Linked DNA regions of Drosophila melanogaster. The gene in region 1 interacts genetically with each later gene. Each region holds a gene or a part of one and is shown in the gene's direction. Other genes may lie near its edges.

Region 1 (10,174 bases):
CAAGTACACCATGGGCAGCCACAGGGCTTCGCTGCCGGCGATGCAGGTGCCATCGTTCAGATACTCGCCCGAATGGCAGCACTTGTTGAGCTTCACGGTGGGCGGCGGCGATGGACGTGGCGGGGCGGCCGGTGGTGGCGACATCTCCTCGATGGCCAAACTCATCGACACAAGCGTCTGCAGCAGGATGACGGTCGTCAGTAGGCCACATGGCCTGATGAACTGGTTGCTGCTGGCAGCTCTGCTACTCCGACTCCTGTCCATCGTTAGCTCACTCGTCAAGATCTGTGTGGATTTCAGGTTCTCTTGTCTCTTGGCCTCAATTTGCAATTTATGTGGCTATGTACTACACATAGCTTTAGCTATGCTGTTTTTCTTTTGATTTTGCGTTCCGTTTCGCTTCGTCGAATAGCACTTTTCACTTTTCCTCTCTTTCGTTGGCAAATGGAAAATCAGAAAATGCTGAATTTCACCGCCGCAAGTTGGGCAAACAAACACCGAAAATCGTTAAGTAAACAACACACGCTGCGCTGCGTTCGATTTCGAATGCATTCCAATATAAAATAGAGTTGTCAGCGAATCATGTATTTATCACAATATCACATTCTTATCGTTGCGTTTTCATTGCGTGCTTGTGCGCCAAGGCTTTTCAGTCAGTCTCCGTTTTCAGTCGTAAACACGGCGCGCGGTGTGTAAAAAAAAATATATGCACGATTTGCGCTCCGATTTTAACGCGCATCAGACTTTTCCTCGCGTTTTTTTCGAAATACTATCGTCGATCAGGGGGGCGGGGATTTTATACGGGTGCCTGGGCGAGTGTGACCCTGTGCGATGCCGAAATACCTGTAGCCGGGGTCACACTGCAGCGCAGATCTGCGCTAACCACAAAATAGCCTTTTCACACGGCCGCTACAAGTCGCGTTGATGCGGTATGTTCGCACTGCCTGAAGTAGGGAGGCATATATAAAAAAAATGTCAGCTTCTCTTTCAAGAATCGATTTCAGCAAACAAAATTGGTTAAATAAACTAAGGATTAATGTTTTTTTTTATTTATACTAACCGTTAATAAAAAGTGTGAAAGATCGTTTATGCGGATGCGACGTCTGTTTAAATAAATCGTTTTGCCATTAATAGAATACTGTCATTTACCACTCCTTGTATATATGTTTTTATATTGCGATTTAGAAGGATTATTCCTATGTTATTTGCTATTTGAAAATTTCATTTATGTGAGCACTTAAAAGCCAGCGAATTTGGCGGAAAAATATTTTTCCCGCCCGAAAGTGTGACCAGTTGGTAGAGTGACCAAGACGATAGTATAGCTCCAATCAATAGTGACATCTCTAGCTTGCGGTCCGCGTTTTTACTTAATTTTCCCATTTTGCGCAAATTAAACCATCAAAATGTCGAAGGCCCATCCCCCAGAGGTGAAAAAGTAAGTGCAACCCATGTGGGAAAAAGATAGCGCTCCATAAATGCAATTAACAATACAACTTGCAGATACATGGACAAGCGCATGATGCTGAAACTGAACGGCGGACGCGCGGTGACCGGTATTTTGCGAGGCTTCGATCCCTTCATGAACGTGGTCCTGGACGACACGGTGGAGGAGTGCAAGGACAACACGAAGAACAACATCGGCATGGTGGTAAGATGCGCAGCATACCCTGCCATAAACTATCGACTCACTCGTTTTTCCCACCTGGCCAGGTTATCCGCGGCAACAGCATCGTCATGGTGGAGGCCCTGGACAGGGTCTAGCACCCGCCTCGGAACCCGATCTCGTCGAGCATCGTTAGCCGTAGTGCTTAGTCTTAAGGCTCCGTAACATTCATAGTCAGAAGAAACACACAAACTCTTGAATAAATTCTATAACAAAGATACCCCTTTTTGAACTGACAATTTATATGAGCAGTTTGGAAAATAAGTCGAAAATATTTAATAATATTGCGTACTTTGTGGATTTACTGCATTGGGAACTTGAGTCGGAAGATTGCCACTTTAAATGACGTCGCCAAGACTAGCAAATGTATTTTCCAAGAAATGCAAACACAGATAGCTTTACACATAATTGGTTTCCAAATCAATTTTTGTGCCTTTGATTTTATACAAATGCTTGGCTTCTTGATTTCTTTGTTAATTTAACTTATTTTCGGCTATTAGTGCCTTACTTGTTGAAAGATTTTGGCCATCTCCTTTTGAATTTGTATAACAATGTTCGATCGACAAAATAAAAGGCTACGTCTTTTTAGTCTTCAATCAATGCAAGAAGTTTACTTCAAGTATATCAGAAAGTTCTTTATCCGCAGATTTTATTTGTCGAAATGGAATAGAAAACAAGACACAATATATATTGAAGCAAGGCAGCTCCACCATTTCACCAAAAAGGGAATGATTTAAATCTAAAGATTAACCTTACCAAGTCCGCATGACTAAATTTCAATGAACTATGCTGTCGCACATGAGCAGTGTGTATAGATATAAAATGTTTATTTCTGCAAGGCAAGCAACCACTTAGCACATGGATTGTTAATGAAACTATGCACCTTCTAAGGGCAGAATACCAAACTGATACTGATAGTTTAGCAATAGAAGGAAAGCCATTAACAATGTGAAGGCTCGGTAAAAGTATAAATTGGCTAGTTAATTACGCCAAATGTAGCTGTTGTCCACATTGTTCTTCGCACATGCATATTACTAATATGAGCAGCATCCTGATAAATCTACCACTTTTTTACATTGCCAAGAGGAGCTATTCTATTCCCCTGTTTACAGACCGCATAAAAAATGTTTCTAGCATTCGAAGAACGCATGTTTCGTAGACTTTTACAAATTGTGGTTGGTTTTATTTTCTCATCTCTCTCGTGCAAACAAAAAGCGCTTACAATAGAAGTCTAAAAATGCGTTTTTTAGAATTCGAAGGGGCGCCGTGTGATTACTTGGAAATAACAATGGGCCCGGTCTGCTTGGCGGCATCGCGCTGCTTGAACACGATCTGGTTAGCAATACGGTCCAGATCACGCTGTCCAATGGAGCTCAGTTTGCGACCACCGTCCGGGTGCTTCTCGACCAAACGGGCGTGCTCCAAGGCCTGCAGAGCCTTGCGGGCAGCACCGTCGGCGGCGCGGCAGAAGTGCGAGGGGTGGACACCGTTGCGCTTGCGTCCGCCGTAGATCTTGGTGATCGAACCGACTCCAGCGGGACTGCGGTGGTACAGATGGCGCAGGATCGAGGCGCAACGCACATAGAACCAGTCGGGATCGTAGGGCGCCAGCTCCTTGAATTTGGCGGTCTTGACGATGTCCATCTGGTCGGGCACCTTCAACTTGCCAGTCCTATTTGGTTTTTTTCGTGTTTTTTTTTTTTTTTTTGGGGGGGGATAAACAAATGGATTGTGAGGTTATGTGGTGGAAATATACTTGATGTTCAGTACTCACTTCTTCAAGAAGACGGCGACCGCCTTGGTAACCGCGTGCTGGTCAATATCCTTCACTGTGACGCCTGGCATCTGCGGGCAGAACGGGAAAAACAAATGGGGAATCTATTACAATGCTGCCAAAAACACGTTGTCGCGATTTCCACGATTCTCTCACAGACACACTCTTTCTCTCTCTCTCTCTCCCTCGCACACACACATGCACGGGCACAACAAAAAATTGCCAGCCGAAGTTTTAACCCGAAAAAAGCTGTCCTTTCGTGTTTACGGCCGGCCCATTGTGTCATTTGCCACTTGGCGTGGGCTCTTTCATTGAATTTCACCCATTCAAAACATAAAAAAAAAGATAATTCACTTGAAAAGAATTCGTGCACAACCTTTCTCGTTAAAGTCAACCGGAAAAAAGAACAAGGCGCGTGAAGTTGGCTGCGGTTAATAGTGCTGGGCCTGCCACCAGCAATAGTATCGATTAATCGAATGCCGGCGCGGCGAACTATCGAAGATTCGGTTAATGATACTCTAACACGTATGTGTTCAATTTATAGTTATTTTTAAAAATATTTAAATTAATGAGCACACCAAGATTATATTATATATTACTTGGCATTTGAAGACCTTGTCTAAACATGCATTTTCGTATTAGTATATTTTCAATGTGGGCAAAGAATGCGTAGTACAATTCATATTTTGCTGTATCACTTTATTCATAAATAACTGCTTTTTATTTTGTTAGCAACCGATTTACATAACTATTCATGAAGCTAGTTTCTGAGTCTATCGAATAACAAGCGGCCCATCGATGACGCAGACAACCGATATTGCCGCAGCACCATCGCCATTTGGAGCGCCACCTGTTGGCCCTGGTATATTCTGGTATTTTCATCGGCGCCTAGTGACTTCGATACTTCAACTTCGATATGTAAACACAATTGCCATCTCTACCAGCACCGAGCCGAAATAAAATAAGTGCAACGCGCAGCGTCTAATTGAAACCAAATTGATCTATTTGGCCGCGGCCGAAACTGGACATTCGCAATTTGGGCGGTCAGCCGCCCCCGTCCCGTCCCGCCCCCCCGTGCGTTTCCCCCGCTGCCGACGGACAGTACGTCGGTGTGACGCACATCGGTGTGTGCGCGCGTGTGTGTGTGTCTGTGAAGCGCCTTGTTATTGTTGTTGTAGCGCTTGCTACGTTCGCCGTTCGCAGTGCACTGGTGTGCGTGCGCTCGTGTAAGTGTGTGTGCACAGAGGTATCGTTGGAATTAACAAAAAAATAGAAGAAGGAAAAAGCTACTTGATTGGGGCACACAAAAACCAACAACTCAAAAGGCCGAGAAACAAAAGCCCACCTTCAACACCACCAATCCGCCGCATTCGACACATTTTGGCCAGGTTTTTGGCCACAAGTGTTGACACAACTGTTGCATGCCAAGCGGACTGCGGACAATAATCCCCGTTCCCTTGTTTACCCAACAATCCATCGTGGTCAACGTGATCATCCTGGTCATTACGATCCCATTTGCACAGGAAGTAAACTAGATTGATAGCATTTTCCGGGAATCGATAGCACACCTGCCTGCCGTGTGGGAAACGCACCTGGGAACGCCCGGGTGCTCGGCTGCGTCCGCATGTGGCGTTGGCGGCACTCCACCAAAAGAAGCCAGCGCCAAGTGCCCAATCCCCATACCCATACCCATTCCCATTCCCATCCCCATCCGTATTCGATTGGCGTTCAGTGGCAGCAGTTAGCCAGAAATCCAACGAAACACTCGTGACCTCATCGCCAGCAAACAGCAAACAACTAGCGCTTGACGCGTGCCTCCTCTCCTCATTACTATTAGCATTCCCAGCATAGACAGACGTCCAACAACTCCTGGCAGGTAAATGTACAATATAAATATGTGTACCCCGAAGAGAACTCTGTTAAACCCTTGCTTCGCTTTCAGTTGCAGCACAGGAGCAGCAGTTGACCAACAGGAAGCAGCAGCTGGAGCAGCAGTATCAGCTTGTTATCTTGCATTTGCATGCCAGCTGGACGAGAAACTGTGACCAAGCAGCGCAGCATGGATGTGGAACGAAGGCGCCGGTGAGTGCACGAGATGGCGGCCCAAAAGCGACTGCTCCACTCAATTAATTGTCACCTGAATGGCAGCATCAGCAGCAGCAGCAGCAGCAATAGCAATAGTAGAAGTCGAAGTAGAAGTAGAAGTGGCAGTAGCCATCGCACAGATACGTGCGATTTGTACAGACAGATTTGTGATTTGTTCAACTGACCAAGCCAAGCAGGCAGCTAAGCAGCTAACCAGCTAACCACCTAACCAGCCAACTAGCCAGCTAGCACAATTCAGCGCAAGCCAAACGGGCCTGGCCAAAACAAATCAAAAAGTAATACACCGCTGGCAAACACCTTCCATATCTCATGTTCAAAGCGACAGCGCGGCAATCAAATTGACAAGCGAGTGAACAAAACGGGGGGCGACTTTATAATAAATTTGCCATTTTCGCATTAAAATTTGTAACCAAACCAAAAAGAAAAAAAACCAAAACGAAAACGAAAAGCGAACTAAAACGAACGCACAGTGGCTGATGCCGCCGTTTGTCAGTTGCAGGCGTCGCGTTGCATCGGCTGCATCGTTTGCATCGTTTTGGGCCAAAAAGGTAGAATAGATAGCCAGCACCACGCCGGTTTCTTCCATTGGACAGTAGACGGTATAGGGCATGGGGACATGGCTAATGCCCGCCGCCCTCCATTCGTGCGAGCCGGAACGGTACGTTGTTCTCATCTCCACGCTCCTAGCATTCAGCATTCAGCATCCAGCTCTCAGCTACCAGTTGTCGTCCTGGTTCGCTTGCATTCCAAATTCCGAGAATACAATTTGCCCAGCAATTCCGCAGCGTCGAGTATGCATATAAATACTTAAATTTAATTACCCATCCCCACTCGGTATCTGCTGTAAGCAGTCATAAGCGAAGCAAACGTTAAGGCATTTGCGTACTAACAATGGCCAATTGCAATGCGCATTTGGTTATAAAAGCCGAACAGTTCCTTTGTGCTGCCTGGGCAAATAATTAATTAGAATTAATAAGGTGTGAAGAGATTCTGCAACGCAGATGCAGTACCACTCTCTATCTCTGTGTGTTGAATGTGAAGCGTTCAATTTGTAAAAACTGGCAGATCGAATTTGGCGACGTTGTATAAATTAAGTTGAAAATTATATTGTCTATAGGTGACGATAATGTTGTCGTCGTCGTCGTCATCGTCGTCGTTGGTTATTATGTATTATTATTGCCGTTGTTGTTGTCAATAATGTTGCTCATAATTATGTTGTTGTTGCCATTTTGCCGCTTTGGCCAAATCGAAATCAACAGCGGCAACGAAAATTCATCGCAGCATTTTTGAAAATTCCACTTTCCCAAGTTGTTTGCTTTTGTGTATGGTGTGTGTGTGTGCTGCTATTACCCGCTGCTTGAGCGTTTTGTTTTTGGCTTTTCTGTCATGCCGTAAGTGGCGATGATGAAATCACAACAATTCAAACACCTTTTAGTATCAATTTTTAGCGCCGACTGTCATCGCAGTTTGCCTGCTCCTGCATCTGAGTCTGACTTTTGCTTGCTGGGCACCGAAATTCGATTCCCAATCGCTGACAGACTGACTCCGCATCTCCGACATCTTGCATCTTGCTAATTGCACATAAATCTTGGTTACGGGAATTAGTTTTTGACCGGAAAATGCCTTTAAATTTAGAAATTCAGAACCAACGCACTGGCAGGCCAAATTTAATTGTTTCATTCTTTGCCGAATATGTAGTTTAATTTGCCGAGAAATTCCATTTGAAAGAGCGCTTTTCCCATGCTCTAGTAACCTCGTATGCAAATACCTAATTGTTATAATTAATTTTCTATATATTTACATTCGCAAGATTTTATTTTCCATGATTTATGTACATACATACACTCTCCGAAGAATGAACCTTACCTTTTTGTTTACATTCAAAAGTAAATAAGCAATTTGTATATTCTTAATATCATTTATAAAGAATGAAACGCTTGGTGAATCAGAGCAGTGTTTTTGTTTTTTGAGATTTTAAAATCCGCACTTACTGATAAAATAATATAGCGTACTATGCTTTTTACTATACTATAGTTACGTAAATATTTGATTCATGAAAATGCATAAATTAACCGGCTCCCCTGATAAATATGTTTGTATAAATGAAAGTCATTGTGCCTGAATCAAAATCAAGCCATTTAATATTCCACGAATATTATTAATTCTATATCAGTTGTAAAGATAACAACTTGATTTTTCCTTGTGATATCTGTGTACCGATGTGTGTCCACCAACAAGGTGGGCAGTTGGTTCCATTCGCACGGCGGTTAGAACCTCCAGTGTGCTCATCATTGTATCAGCTCCAACTGCTCAAGTGCGCCGTATCAACGGCAAGTTTGCTGTCAGTGGCCTGCACATGGCTTGCATTCATTGCATTGCATATTCCATTCCATTCCATTCCATTCCATTTCATTTTATCAGAGTCGCCAACAGCGTGGGGTGATAAAGTCAAGGCCCCTCCTCGCCCCCTCCTCCACTACTTTGGCACTTTGGACTCCCCTAACATTAGCTGGACTATGCCTATGCCAGGTTATCAATGGTGGCTAGTGTTTCCAGTGCGATAACGCCTTCATCTGTATCCGTATCATGTGCCGCCCATTTGTCTGCCGCTAAAAAGCGCCCGATTGGGACAAATCTCCGGGGCATTCGGTGTCTGTCCGCTCCTCCACTGACTCACCGCCACTTCAATTCCAAGATCTGAAAGCCTGTCGCTGTTTTTGTTTACACTGTCGCTGTGCAGACAGTTGCGGTCAATGTGTTAGCACTTAAGTACTCTACTGTCGAATTGATCTAGAATTACTTATTTCGATCTGTAAATTGCCGCCCCGCCATCATGGGCTGCAACTCCTCCCTTCAATAATAATGTTTATATCCAATTCACGGCCACTCGAATTCGTTGAATCGTTAATAATAGGAAATCTTAAATTTAGAAACGATGTGCGAACCTATTAATGCCATTACTTGGACCGCAGCTGTTTGCCTGGGTGATGGGGTGGGTGTACCCGGAAAGTGGTGTTTACACGTCCCGTCCATGAGTAATCTGCGCACTTTCCCTCATAGTTCCTCCTCGTTTTCCCAGTTTCATTTTATTTGATTTGTTCGTTATTTGTTTGTTTGTTTATGCGAGCGATTTGCATGACGACCAAGCGGTGAGGAACCAGTTGAACAATCAAACACTCAGACACAGCAGATGATTAATTTCGTATATTGGAACACTTCTAATTTACAATATCTCTTTACCATATATTAACTATATCTCTCTTTTCATATTTCCGTTTTCCCAGGGCGAATACGCTCGAGCGCGAGATGCGCGATCCGACCAGCATCTGCAATGTGGACTGCCTGCTGGACACGGTGTCGGCCTTGGTCAGCGATTGTGACCACGAGTCCCTGAGGCGGCTTAAGAACATCGAGCAGTATGCGGCCAAATGTGAGTGGTTATGTCTATTATCCCAATGATAATCGGTTATTATACTTTCACTTCTTCGTTTTGCAGACAAACCATTGGCAATGCAGATCAATCAGCTGCGCATGAACGTCGAGGATTTCCATTTTATCAAACTCATCGGCGCCGGCGCCTTTGGAGAGGTGCAGCTGGTGCGGCACAAGTCCTCCAGCCAGGTGTACGCCATGAAGCGGCTGTCCAAATTCGAGATGATGAAGCGACCGGACTCCGCGTTCTTCTGGGAGGAGCGACACATTATGGCGCACGCCAACTCCGAATGGATCGTTCAGCTGCACTTTGCATTTCAGGTGAGCTGGACTCTCAGTCCAACTTTAACTTAAATTTGAATAGGAAATGTATGTACGATATATTAGTTTAGTTTAGCTTTAAGTAAATTGTTTGTTGGGTAAAAGAAATAACTCATATATACATATCTGGATACCCATGCTTTAGCTGTCAGTCAGTTTGACTGTCCTGACAGGGTTTCCGATCAAATCGAATCACTTCTCAACTGGCAACCAAACGAAACGCATCTCAACTGTCTAACAAAACAAGATTTGACAAAGTGTTAAAAAATTTGAAAAAAAAAAAATTACAATACAATAATCATGTACAATTTGATAAAAAGTCGCACACTCTCCGACTACTTAAAGAAGCCAATGCCGCCAAATTCTTTGAATAATGGCGGCAAAACAAACAATTCCGTGGGTAATACCAACAATCCGGCCGGAAATCTAAGTCCTGTTGCCGAAGAATGTGTGCCGCATCCAAAGAACAAAGAGCGTACGCTCGTTGAGGATTTGGCCAAAATAAATAAACTGTTCGAGTATCTGGAGGCTTCAGCTACGGACGATATGGATTTAGATAATTCAACTGTCGAGGATGTGGGAAAGGAAAGTTTATCGAATACGGTGCAGGCATGGAAAGAAGTTCCCAATATAAAAAATAAATGTAAGGGAGCTAATAGCTCATCGGTAGGCTTATTTGGTATGCTTTAAATACGCTCTCTTTTTAGATTTTATCGGAGAACAGGTGCCTGTGATGGATACTTCCGACTTTATGCTTATTTCTCGCAACAAGGCAAAGAAGACTTTGCGTGCCAGGCAAATGCGTCTTGAGCAGGAAAGAAAGGTGGCTCTGGAAGCCGCGAAATTGACCGAACAAAAAGGCATGGGGGATCCTTCTT
Region 2 (10,174 bases), on another chromosome or scaffold:
GCTAAATAATATGCTTTTATAAAAACAGACTGCGTTCGAGACCCTCAGCGAAACTTTTTCTAACGAGAATAACTTTTCGATATCAAAATAATTTATTCATTATTTCGTCCAGTGCATCCATTTCGCTTCCGTGTTTCGAAATTCAATTTATGTATACTTTATGGAGCCGTAGCCGGCTCCCCAAGCTCCATTTCGCCCCCCCTTTTGCCCAGTGAGGCGGAGAAAATTGTAAGTTCAGGAAAATCGATTTTCTTGTTGTATTTTTTCTGCCGTTCTTCATTATTTTTTTGGCTGGCTGCAGACATGGCTAATTGGAGTTCTTTTTGTTGGCATCAGCTCGTGAACTGAATGCTGCAGTTTGCATCTTTACTCACCTCGTTGCGCTATTTTTAATGCACCGGATTCGGATTCGGATTGCCTGTTTCGGGGATTCGATTCGGGACTCTCCTGCCCCACTTCCCCACTCTTTTGGCCAAAGAAATTGCGTCCAGAGAGCGACACTCACACTCGCACGCACAAACACACGCACGTACACACGACTGCAGCAATGTTTCTCTTCAATTGCAGAGCGCTTTTTTATTCTATTTTCACGAGCTCACTCGCGATTTTACGCACTTCTTTTCGGCGACAACTATTTCGTTTGAGATAGTAATTCCGTGGAGTAATTATGCTTCACATGCTGCCTGTTTTCCGAACACTTTTCACTTTTCTTTCTTTTCTATGCAGCTGAATGGGAGCAGAAAACAAACGCAGCCCTAACGGCACCGAGTTGTGGTTGTTGTTGGCTAGGCAGTGTGACCGCAACTGAGGGTGGAAAAGAATCCGTTGCGGAAAATATACCGAAATGTATCTTGTGGATTCATTTGCAACAGCTGCGCTGCCACAACCATCGTGGGTAGCTAGAGATGGCACAATACCAATTCGATATATGTACAACCAAACATATTCATTCCATATTTAAAAAGTTTTCGGTTACTTTCAGATCCATTCAATTAAAAGCGGTTTATCTAATTTGTCCCCATATGGTGGTTTTCCATTTGACCAATATTATGACGATTTTTTAGATTAATTGTATGATTCCATCTATATGTAATGCATTTTACATGCTAACGTAAAATAGCATGCAGCTAAGTTCGAAATTTCGAACCCAATGGTCTGGCAACGCCAAAGCGGCTTACCGGCTGTTCAGGCGGTATTATTCGGACTTCATGCGGTCATACTAACTGGAAATTACTTAACATGCTGCAAGGAATGCTCCAAAGGCGAGTAAATAATGAATATACCATTTATTTTGAGTGGTATAATAACATACATTGGCATTGCAGGACCTGCCTGGCGGTTGTCAGCACCGCACAAACTCTAATCGTGCGGGATAAGCACGCTTTCAACCGGGCGGTGCTGAAACCGAAAGTACGCTGCCATTTTCCGAAACCCATGGAGGTGAAGAGAATTAATGTCCACGGCTGGAATGCTAGGATGTCGACGCCTGAGGGACGACGAGTGCTGATGAACCGGATCCTCAAAGGACGTCACAATTTGTCACACTAGCCTTGTGTTAATAAACCTAACTTTATTTACAATGTTATCCGATTGCGATTGCTACAGTAAGCTCAGTTTTAGTTTCGTTGATTCGCTGGTACTCCCAGAAAGGCTGGCGCTCGATGGTAGATCTGCTGAATACTCTTCGAAGATTTCGAATCGTCAAGGATGAACACGAAGGGCACACTGCTGGACACACCTTGGCCCTGATCCCGAAGGAAGCCCTGCGGCAGGGACTGTTCCCCGCCGAGGATAAGACAATCCACCAGGGACATCTTTTGTAGCGGCATTGCTGGCACCAGGTATAACTCCTTGCGCTCGTAGTCGATGGCGCGAACCACACCTAAAAGAATTTTGGAATTCAATTAATAAGCCACAAAAGAACGTGAATGTGTACAAACCTATTCCCAAACATTGGGGCAGACCTGCTCCGTGATGGCACAGATATACTACATTAGCCTCCATGCCTCGAATCAGTTCTTCGCGCGAGTAATTCTTGCTGGTGGGATGCAGGATTTTCAGGGATTCCAAAGACACTCCCAACGGCTGGCAGTCTGTAAGAGATTTGGCATTTCCAGTCAGGCAGGAACTGAGACGTGCCAGAAGATTGGAGTACCGCATGTCCTTGGCGCTGAGACTCCAAGTTCCTTTTTCCCTTGCAGGCACTGCACTTATCAGCTTATGGAGTGTGTATTTTGGTATTTCATTGATCTTGAACTCCTCCGCAGAGTATATAATTGGTTTTATCTGCGACAGACTGTTCCGGTCGAGGACAGAATCAAAGTTATTGATTGGAATGGGACTGGCAATCTGTACAAGATCCGTGGGACGAATGCGATCCACCAGCAGAGCCATCAATTCGATACCAAATCCCTTATTATAGCCCATCGTATTTATCAGCCAAGGAATATTTGAATACTTGGCATCGTTCTGAATGTTTTGGACTAGCTGAATAACTGCTCGGGCATACTGCTCTGCGCACAAGACAATGTTGGTGTGGCCCACGACAATGGCATGTTCCGGCTGCCTGTTGTACAGGAAGCCCGGTCCCAGAAGGGGCTCATCAATTACGGTGCAAGAAATAGTCTGGGGTACAAATATTTCCGGCTGACCAATGTCCAGGTCGATGAGCAGCATGGATGGGAATTGACCCAGATTTCGGTTGATGAGGTAACGCAATAAACTAGACTTTCCGACGCCCTTACCACCGGCTACGATTATTCGGCTCGTTGCATGCATTTGTAACTTATTCCAAACCTGCGGAACTTGGAGAGTGCGACTTTGATCGCTCGATTGAATCAGACAGTGCAACAGGGTTTCACTTTGGCCAAATGGTCGATTGGAAGAATTGACAAGTGGGAATACATTTTGCGCCATGTGCTTGCCAAAGGTATCGACGAGCTGCTGGGCACTTGTGTTTCGGTGGAGCAGTACTATTGCATTCGTCTGACGCTGAAAGCTGGTCTTAATCCTGTCTAGCTGGGCGCGTGTAAAGTTCTTGTTGAGTTCTTCCCAATTTACCTCATCTTTTACAGGTTTTTTAGTCTTGGTTGGCGAAATAGATACCCAATTAAGGCCTTTAGGAGAATAAATTGTGATTGCTTCCTGCCTGCGTGCTCTGTAACCATTTACTGATATTTGACCACAGAGTAGAGTCAACACTAGTGTGCCATAAACTTCGAGGTCCTCCTTAATCACGGCCAGCACATGATTGCTCTTCAGACTGTTCTCAAAGACGCTAAGCTCAGTGGGATTCGCTTGCGGATTTCTGTAAAACGGGACATCGCTTGGTTGGAGATAATTTTCCTTTTCTGGTGTTACAACTTCAGGCAGTGATACCTCATCATTCTCTTCGGTTTCAATTGCAACTTCAGACTCCTTCTTTGGGGGCACACTGCTTAAGTTTTTTACAACAATATCCATAACACTTGACTGTTCAATACGTTCTTGCTTTTTTTCCACAGGCGGATCGTCGAAGATTTCCTCTATAATAAGCGGCTCTCTTTGCATACCCACAGGTGGATGATCGAAGAATCCCTCAATGTCAGGTGGCTCATAAGTTGAATCGAGGTCGTCGGTGTCGAAGATATCGCTTCCGAATTCTTCACTATCGCTGTCACTAACATCCTCCATATCGCTATATTCACTGTAGAAATCTCCATCACTATCATAGTCTGCGCTGCTTGTGTCTTCACTGTCAGACTCTTCGCTGTCAAATTCCTCCGATCCAAAGTCATCGCTATCTTCTGGCTCATAATCAATGTCATCTTCGTCGCTGTCAGTTTCTTCCTGTGCACTTTTAAATACCTTAATCTTTCGAACTGTTCCACTGCCATCCCCATCCAACAAAAGAGGTTGGTATTCATCGTGTTCAAAAGGAGGAAGAATATCTGATAACTTGTATTCGGGGCCTTTGCATTTGACCTTAAAAATCTTTGGATCTTTAAGAAATGTCTCGTCTATTTCTTCAACTACATCGTTTTCAGAGTCTAAAAAACATAGTTTAAGTTAAGAAACAAGAGTAATATTAAAAATTCCTTACCACTTTCAATTAAATAATCGTCTTCTTCACTCCAATCATCCAATGAATTCATTTCAATGTCACTTGTTTCCGCTGCAGTACCAATTATCTCTACTACTTTACCATTTTGTACGACCTTCATTGAGCTCTTGTTTCCATTTACCTTATGTTTCTTAGATAAACTTGCTTCTTTTGTTTTATTTGGCGTCTTGACTTTGGTTTTCTTAGGAGCTAATTCTGAAAAATACATATATATTAAAATAAAATGAGGTTGTAATTCTGGATCTAATGCATACCATTTATACTATGAACCTTGGGAATAGGAAGCTTAGCACTTTTGCTTGTTGCTGCAGATTTTTTAGCTGCAACATTTGAGGATTTATTTACAGGATTCTTTTTGGGTAGGGTATTATCCTTTTTAAGCCTCTTCTGGGATGGTGAACTGTCTGGATTCGACACATTATTGGAAAGAGGTCTCTTTGCGCCGGCTGTCTTATTTTTCTTGGATTTTTTGGGCGACTCCATCTGGGCTTTTTGAATCATTGTTTCCGAAATCTTTGCAGGATTGCTGGCCACCTTTGAAATAACTTTTTTCTTTGGAACAGCAGGTGGGTGTTGTGGTTTTTCCGGCTTACGGCGACCAGAGGCTAGTTCTCGCTGTTCGGTGAGCTGGAAGCTCAGTTTCATTTCTTTCAGAATATGTTCGTCAAGCATTCCTTTTCAGTTTTTTGCTGAACTACCAATACTTCCCGGGCCATGCGACCGCAAATTTAAGAAGAAGAGCAAGAATAACATATGTGCGGTGTTACCAGTCGTGGTCGGTCATGGGAATAACGCGCACAGAGTTGCCATCGATGAGAACTATCGATTGGGTTAATAACAGCCCTGCGCTCGAAGGCGTTGGTTGGTCATCGAGCGTTCATCCCGCTACCGAGAAATGAAACGGATGAACATTGTTCATCGTCATTTTGCATGGGAAAAAATCGTCGAGTTCAATTCGAATTTTTGTAATTGCATTAACTTTTATACGATATAGCTAAACGGTAGACGCATAAGAATCAACAAATTTGTGCCATTTTGTAAGCAAATTAAGTGTCGAATTCGTGCTGAGTGTTGTGAAATCACCAATATAAATTGTAAGTGGCCGAAAGAGCAGAAGTGAAAAAATTCCACACAGCACGCACACAAATGCACGCACGCCCAGCCAGAGGCGAACAGACACACGCACACACACACACACACAGCCATACCGAGAGTGGATGATGAGATGTTTTTGGAATAAAGTGTGAGCGGGACGGGCGCGGAGAGAGGAGTTTCCTGGAGTGTTGGAGAGAGGGGTGGAGAAGCGGGCGGCCCTATGACGCGACCAAAATGAAAATGCGAATGCGAAAAACCGTAAAGAAAAACGGGAAAAACTCGGCTAACGGACAATGGACAATGGCCAGATAAGAAAGAACCCCACACTTTATACTATTAGATCGCCGTCCAGCCGCAAGTATGACTAAGTGTGTGCGCGAGCGGGAGAGGGCTATCGGAAAAGAGAGCGAGCGCGCGAGTGTATTTGTGCTGTGTGTCCACCAGTGTGCGTGTGACTGTATGCGAGTGTGTGTGTGGCTTTTTCATTTTGATAATTTTTTGAACAGGCGCTCGTTCAGTTTTCGCGAATATATAAAACAGAACGGCTGACTCGGATTCGGAATCGAAAATTGTATTCGGATTCAGAATCGGACTCGGAATCCTCGGGCATCCGCTGCACTTGCATTGCATCTAGCTACAGTTTGATTTTGCCTTTTGCAGAACTTCCAATGACGACGATTCGCAAGAAATTGGTAATTGTCGGCGACGGTGCCTGCGGTAAAACTTGCCTTCTGATTGTCTTCAGCAAAGATCAGTTCCCCGAGGTCTATGTGCCCACCGTATTCGAGAATTATGTGGCCGACATCGAGGTGGATGGCAAACAGGTAAGCCCCTTTTCCCGGACAGGCCCGCCCCTCCCCTAACTACCCGTCCCGTCCACCACTCTGAATGCCACCCCCAACCGGTGGCTGACCCCCCTCCCCTGATAACCCCACCCTGCCATCCAAGTGATAATCGTCTGATCTCGTTTTATAATTTGTGTGCATTCTCAATTCATTCCGTTTTTCAAGTGCGCGTATCCTCCTTACACTTTCCACCCGCCTCTGTGTGTGTGTGTGTGTGTGTGTGTGTGTGTGCGGGTGTGTGTTCCCATGGGTGTGTGTTTATTGTTCTCTTGTTTGTGCCACCCACAACTTCACCCACACCTTGGTCGTTGTATTTCCTTTTCTTCGCCTGTAAAATGAAATGAGTCAATATCGCCTCATGCCCACAGACGCATCCATAAATAAAGGTGTCTGGAAAAGCAAAAGAAAAATTAAGATCATTTTTGGTTAAGTGGAGTGCAAATTTGGATTTTTCCGAAGAATTCAAAGTTTTGATAGCAGTGATTAAGTCACACTTGGGCACATTTCCCCACACTTACACGCACACATGCTCAACAGAGAGTTGGCAGCACACACACACACACAGAAGTAGTGCTGCTCCCTTCCTTCCGCTCGTTTTCTTTTCTTTTTATTTTGTATTTGTCTTATACAAGTCCGTTGCGCACATACAGTTTAATGCGTTGCGCCGCCCCCCGCTCTTTCTGCTGCTCTCTCGGGCGCTCTCACTCTTACTCTTTCTCCCTGCCTACCTGTACTCTCTTCTAAGGGGGGGGAGCGCTCTCCCGCTCCACCGCGCACTCCCTTACTCTATGGAATGTAATGTGCGTTTTCCATTGGGGCATCAAGTCATGATTTGGCTATATGTTCGTTCATATATTCCATTTGGGATCTACAGTATTTTCAGGCGCTTTTTTTCGAAATAAACACTGTGTGTTTGCCTTTGCTGCGCAATATGGCGGGTTTTCAATTTTCAGTTTCTGTTTGTGTTTCTGTTTGGATAGCGTTTACATACACACAAGTTCACGTCATTCCACTTCGCCTCGCTTCGATGTGATTAATTCGTTTGGCATTTCCGTCAAGTTCCTTGCTCACACTCTCGTACTCGCACTCATGCTATCTTCAACTCGAACTTGTCCCATTCTCCTCCGAGCCCGCATCGCACCGTCCCGTGCCACAAAAAGCCCCATCTATCTATAACCCTGACGACACCGCAACTGCAAGCGTAACTCTCAATCATAATCCGCATCCGATTCTCCAGGTGGAGCTGGCCTTGTGGGATACGGCCGGGCAGGAGGACTACGACAGACTACGACCGCTGAGCTATCCCGACACTGACGTCATACTGATGTGTTTCTCAGTGGATTCACCCGATTCGCTAGAAAATATTCCTGAAAAATGGACCCCAGAGGTGAGTTTAACTGGAATTACAGAACAGTTTCTATCAGACGATCGTAAACAAGTATGGTACTATATATATATATACTATACGGAACTAACAAGTCTAGACAAAATATGTTTTTAATTTTTATGTAATGATGCAAATTTGGAAAAAGTTGAACTTTTAACTCCAGTTAAAATATATTAAACATTTTTGAAGTTATCGAATGCATTTGCTTATGATATGGAATCTTTAAGACTATGCATCTCTGTGTTCTTGTTTATGTCATTGAAGCTATCTGAAAGACTGGTTTTGGTTTAGAACGAGGAAAGTTTAATAGAATTGTTGGTTATTTCTAGTTTAATCACTAAAAATAGTCTGCTATGAGCCAATTTGCTTTGACTTTCTGAATCATTTCCTTACTTCTCAGCCTTTAATTTATAATGATAGATATAGATAAGAAGAAAGTAAGTGGTTCCCAATTACGAATTACTTGTTTTTGCAGTTCGACTATATGGAATCTGATATCAAAATATGATACTAATCCTTACTACATTATTGCAGGTCAAACACTTTTGTCCAAATGTTCCAATCATTTTGGTAGGAAATAAGAAAGATTTGCGAAATGATCCCAACACAATTCGGGTACGTATACGCGCTGTTGAACGAGGTGAACTTGCAGCACTAAACTAAACTTGATTTTACAGGATCTAGCAAAAATGAAGCAGGAGCCGGTGAAGCCGCAGGAGGGTCGCGCCATGGCCGAGAAGATTAATGCCTTTGCCTATTTGGAGTGTTCGGCTAAGTCCAAGGAGGGTGTGCGAGATGTTTTCGAGACGGCAACTAGGGCCGCGCTGCAAGTCAAAAAGAGGAAGAAGACCAGATGCCTTTTGCTCTAAAAGAGCAAATCAACAACATGAAAATCTTTACCACACACACACACAGCAAAAACAACAGCATAAACACACACAAACACACATACACACCTTTTACAACAATAACGAGCTGAACAACAACCACTCAACAACAACATCAAGAACAACCAGAACATCGGATACACGAAGCTGCACCACCACCCAACCAGCAACAAACATGAGCAGAAAACAGAGAGCTTGAGCTAGAAGATCAGCGGAGGAGGGATGCAGCGAGATATAAGGGAAGGCAGCACCAAGTAGAATGTCAAATGCGGATTTGATTTTATATACAGTCTAGTGTAGTTATAAACCGAAGTAAACAACAGTAATAACTCTGGCATTATTATTTGTAAAAACTAGGGCAGAGCAGATCAATCAGTCAGCCACTGCAAGCAAAAAATATATATCGATATATGTAAACATATTCAAGTTGTGTCCGTTTCTGTCCACCCCCTCCTCCTAGATGTATGTTATTATTTCGTTAACTGTGTTGTCAAGTGTAGAGTCGGCTGTGGCTGGACGAGATTGTGTCGTATGCGAGGGTGAGTGAGTCAGGTGAATCAGTGGAATTAGGAACAGAATCGGAAACGGAATCGGATGTTGGATCCCGGGGTCCAAGGAGGTCGTAGGCGTCAAGATGAGAGTTATGTTCCCATTAAATCTATCAAATACAGAGAGACCAGGCCGCCAATAGGAGTTGGAAGCGAAACTACATTACAAGAGCCGAACTAAACACAAAACAAAACAAAACAAAAACGATAAATGTTTATTTAACTAAACGTAAGCCACAAATGAGATGCATTCAGTTTTCGCGTGGGAGATGCTAAGAGGGAAAATTTTTGATGAAGTGAAAAACTATTTCGAGCGCATTAAGCGAGTTTTTAATATTTGTACTTTGCATTAAAACGAGTGGAAAACATAAAAAAAAAAAGATACTACAAAACAACCAAACAACTATATGAAGAGTATTTTATGATTTTATAAAATACGATTATACATATAATTATACTATACAGTACATATGTGTATGTCTCTTTTTTTGTATTTTGTACCGTCAATCGTGTAATTCTCACACAGAAGTTGAAAAACTCGAAGATGCATCAGATACAACCAAACTATATTATACTTATGAATAAACAGTACATTTGATCTACTCTTGGTTTAACTAACTGTTTTCTTATTTGGCCGGGCATCGAATTTTATTAGGCTAAGATAATGGATTTAAATCCGGGGAATACCCGCCCTTTAAAGTCAAAACACTTATCTTTAACGGGGTTAAAAAAATCTTTATTGAGGGTATTGTTTTTGTTTATTTTGTGCTTTTGTATTTAATTTTTTTTTTTACATTTAAAATGTACATAACATTATGAATCAAAATGTTTTGGTTTTTCATCGATTAGGTATTAGGTTTCACAATATTATTCCCGAACAGGTATGTCGTTTTCGAAACAACATGGACACGACACATTGCTTTGAACATCTAGTTCCCAAGCCTTTTCTCTTAAAACGTACTTTTTAATCGCTTAACTTTCGCGGCGAAAGCAATTCTATTATATTTCTACCCGCATTTGATTCGTTTTCGTGTTGGAGCTGTTGTTTTTCTTTTTTTCGTCAGTCGATCTGTTTGGTTCGAACGGTTGCAGGATTCGCAATAACAATTAATTATTAGTAATTATGGGTAGTCCATTCAACTGTTTTTTGGGATCATGTAACAAACAGAGTAATTAAAGCCGTGTTAGTATTTTGTTTCCGGTGATGCAGTTAACATTGATGAGAGGAACTCATGGTGATTGCTTAGAGAACGTGATGTGTGGTTTCTTGTGGTAAAAGTAATCAACAGATTTCGTTAAACTAATAATAA

The links.
Region 2: of Rok (region 1) and Rho1, changing one suppresses a phenotype caused by changing the other (phenotypic suppression), as found in Drosophila melanogaster (2 studies listed by BioGRID).

The regions. Positions count from the first base shown.
Region 1 is NC_004354.4:16,631,567-16,641,740, reverse strand, and holds the start of Rok (Rho kinase), read left to right. Parts: upstream 1-4,326; 5' UTR 4,327-5,313; intron 5,314-5,379; 5' UTR 5,380-5,457; coding exon 5,458-5,519; intron 5,520-6,073; exon of another isoform or gene 6,074-6,166; coding exon of another isoform or gene 6,167-6,201; intron 6,202-8,532; exon of another isoform or gene 8,533-8,617; intron 8,618-8,827; coding exon 8,828-8,973; exon of another isoform or gene 8,974-8,987; intron 8,988-9,039; coding exon 9,040-9,296; intron 9,297-9,505; exon of another isoform or gene 9,506-9,596; coding exon of another isoform or gene 9,597-9,939; intron 9,940-10,003; coding exon of another isoform or gene 10,004-10,174. Other genes in the region: mthl1 (methuselah-like 1), read right to left, coding at 1-264; SNRPG (small nuclear ribonucleoprotein G), read left to right, coding at 1,404-1,435, 1,501-1,648, 1,711-1,761; RpS19a (ribosomal protein S19a), read right to left, coding at 2,936-3,335, 3,438-3,508; CG9777 (uncharacterized protein), read left to right, coding at 9,597-9,939, 10,004-10,174.
Region 2 is NT_033778.4:16,097,754-16,107,927, forward strand, and holds Rho1 (Rho1), read left to right. Parts: upstream 1-4,933; 5' UTR 4,934-5,139; exon of another isoform or gene 5,140-5,196; intron 5,197-5,343; exon of another isoform or gene 5,344-5,555; intron 5,556-5,712; exon of another isoform or gene 5,713-5,857; 5' UTR 5,858-5,865; coding exon 5,866-6,021; intron 6,022-7,279; coding exon 7,280-7,429; intron 7,430-7,963; coding exon 7,964-8,044; intron 8,045-8,106; coding exon 8,107-8,298; 3' UTR 8,299-9,476; downstream 9,477-10,174. Other genes in the region: mRpL34 (mitochondrial ribosomal protein L34), read left to right, coding at 1,240-1,262, 1,326-1,548; CG8414 (uncharacterized protein), read right to left, coding at 1,617-1,882, 1,941-4,028, 4,082-4,297, 4,357-4,774. UniProt on the Drosophila melanogaster protein: Has a role in regulating actin cytoskeletal organization: required during early development for proper execution of morphogenetic movements of individual cells and groups of cells important for the formation of the embryonic body plan.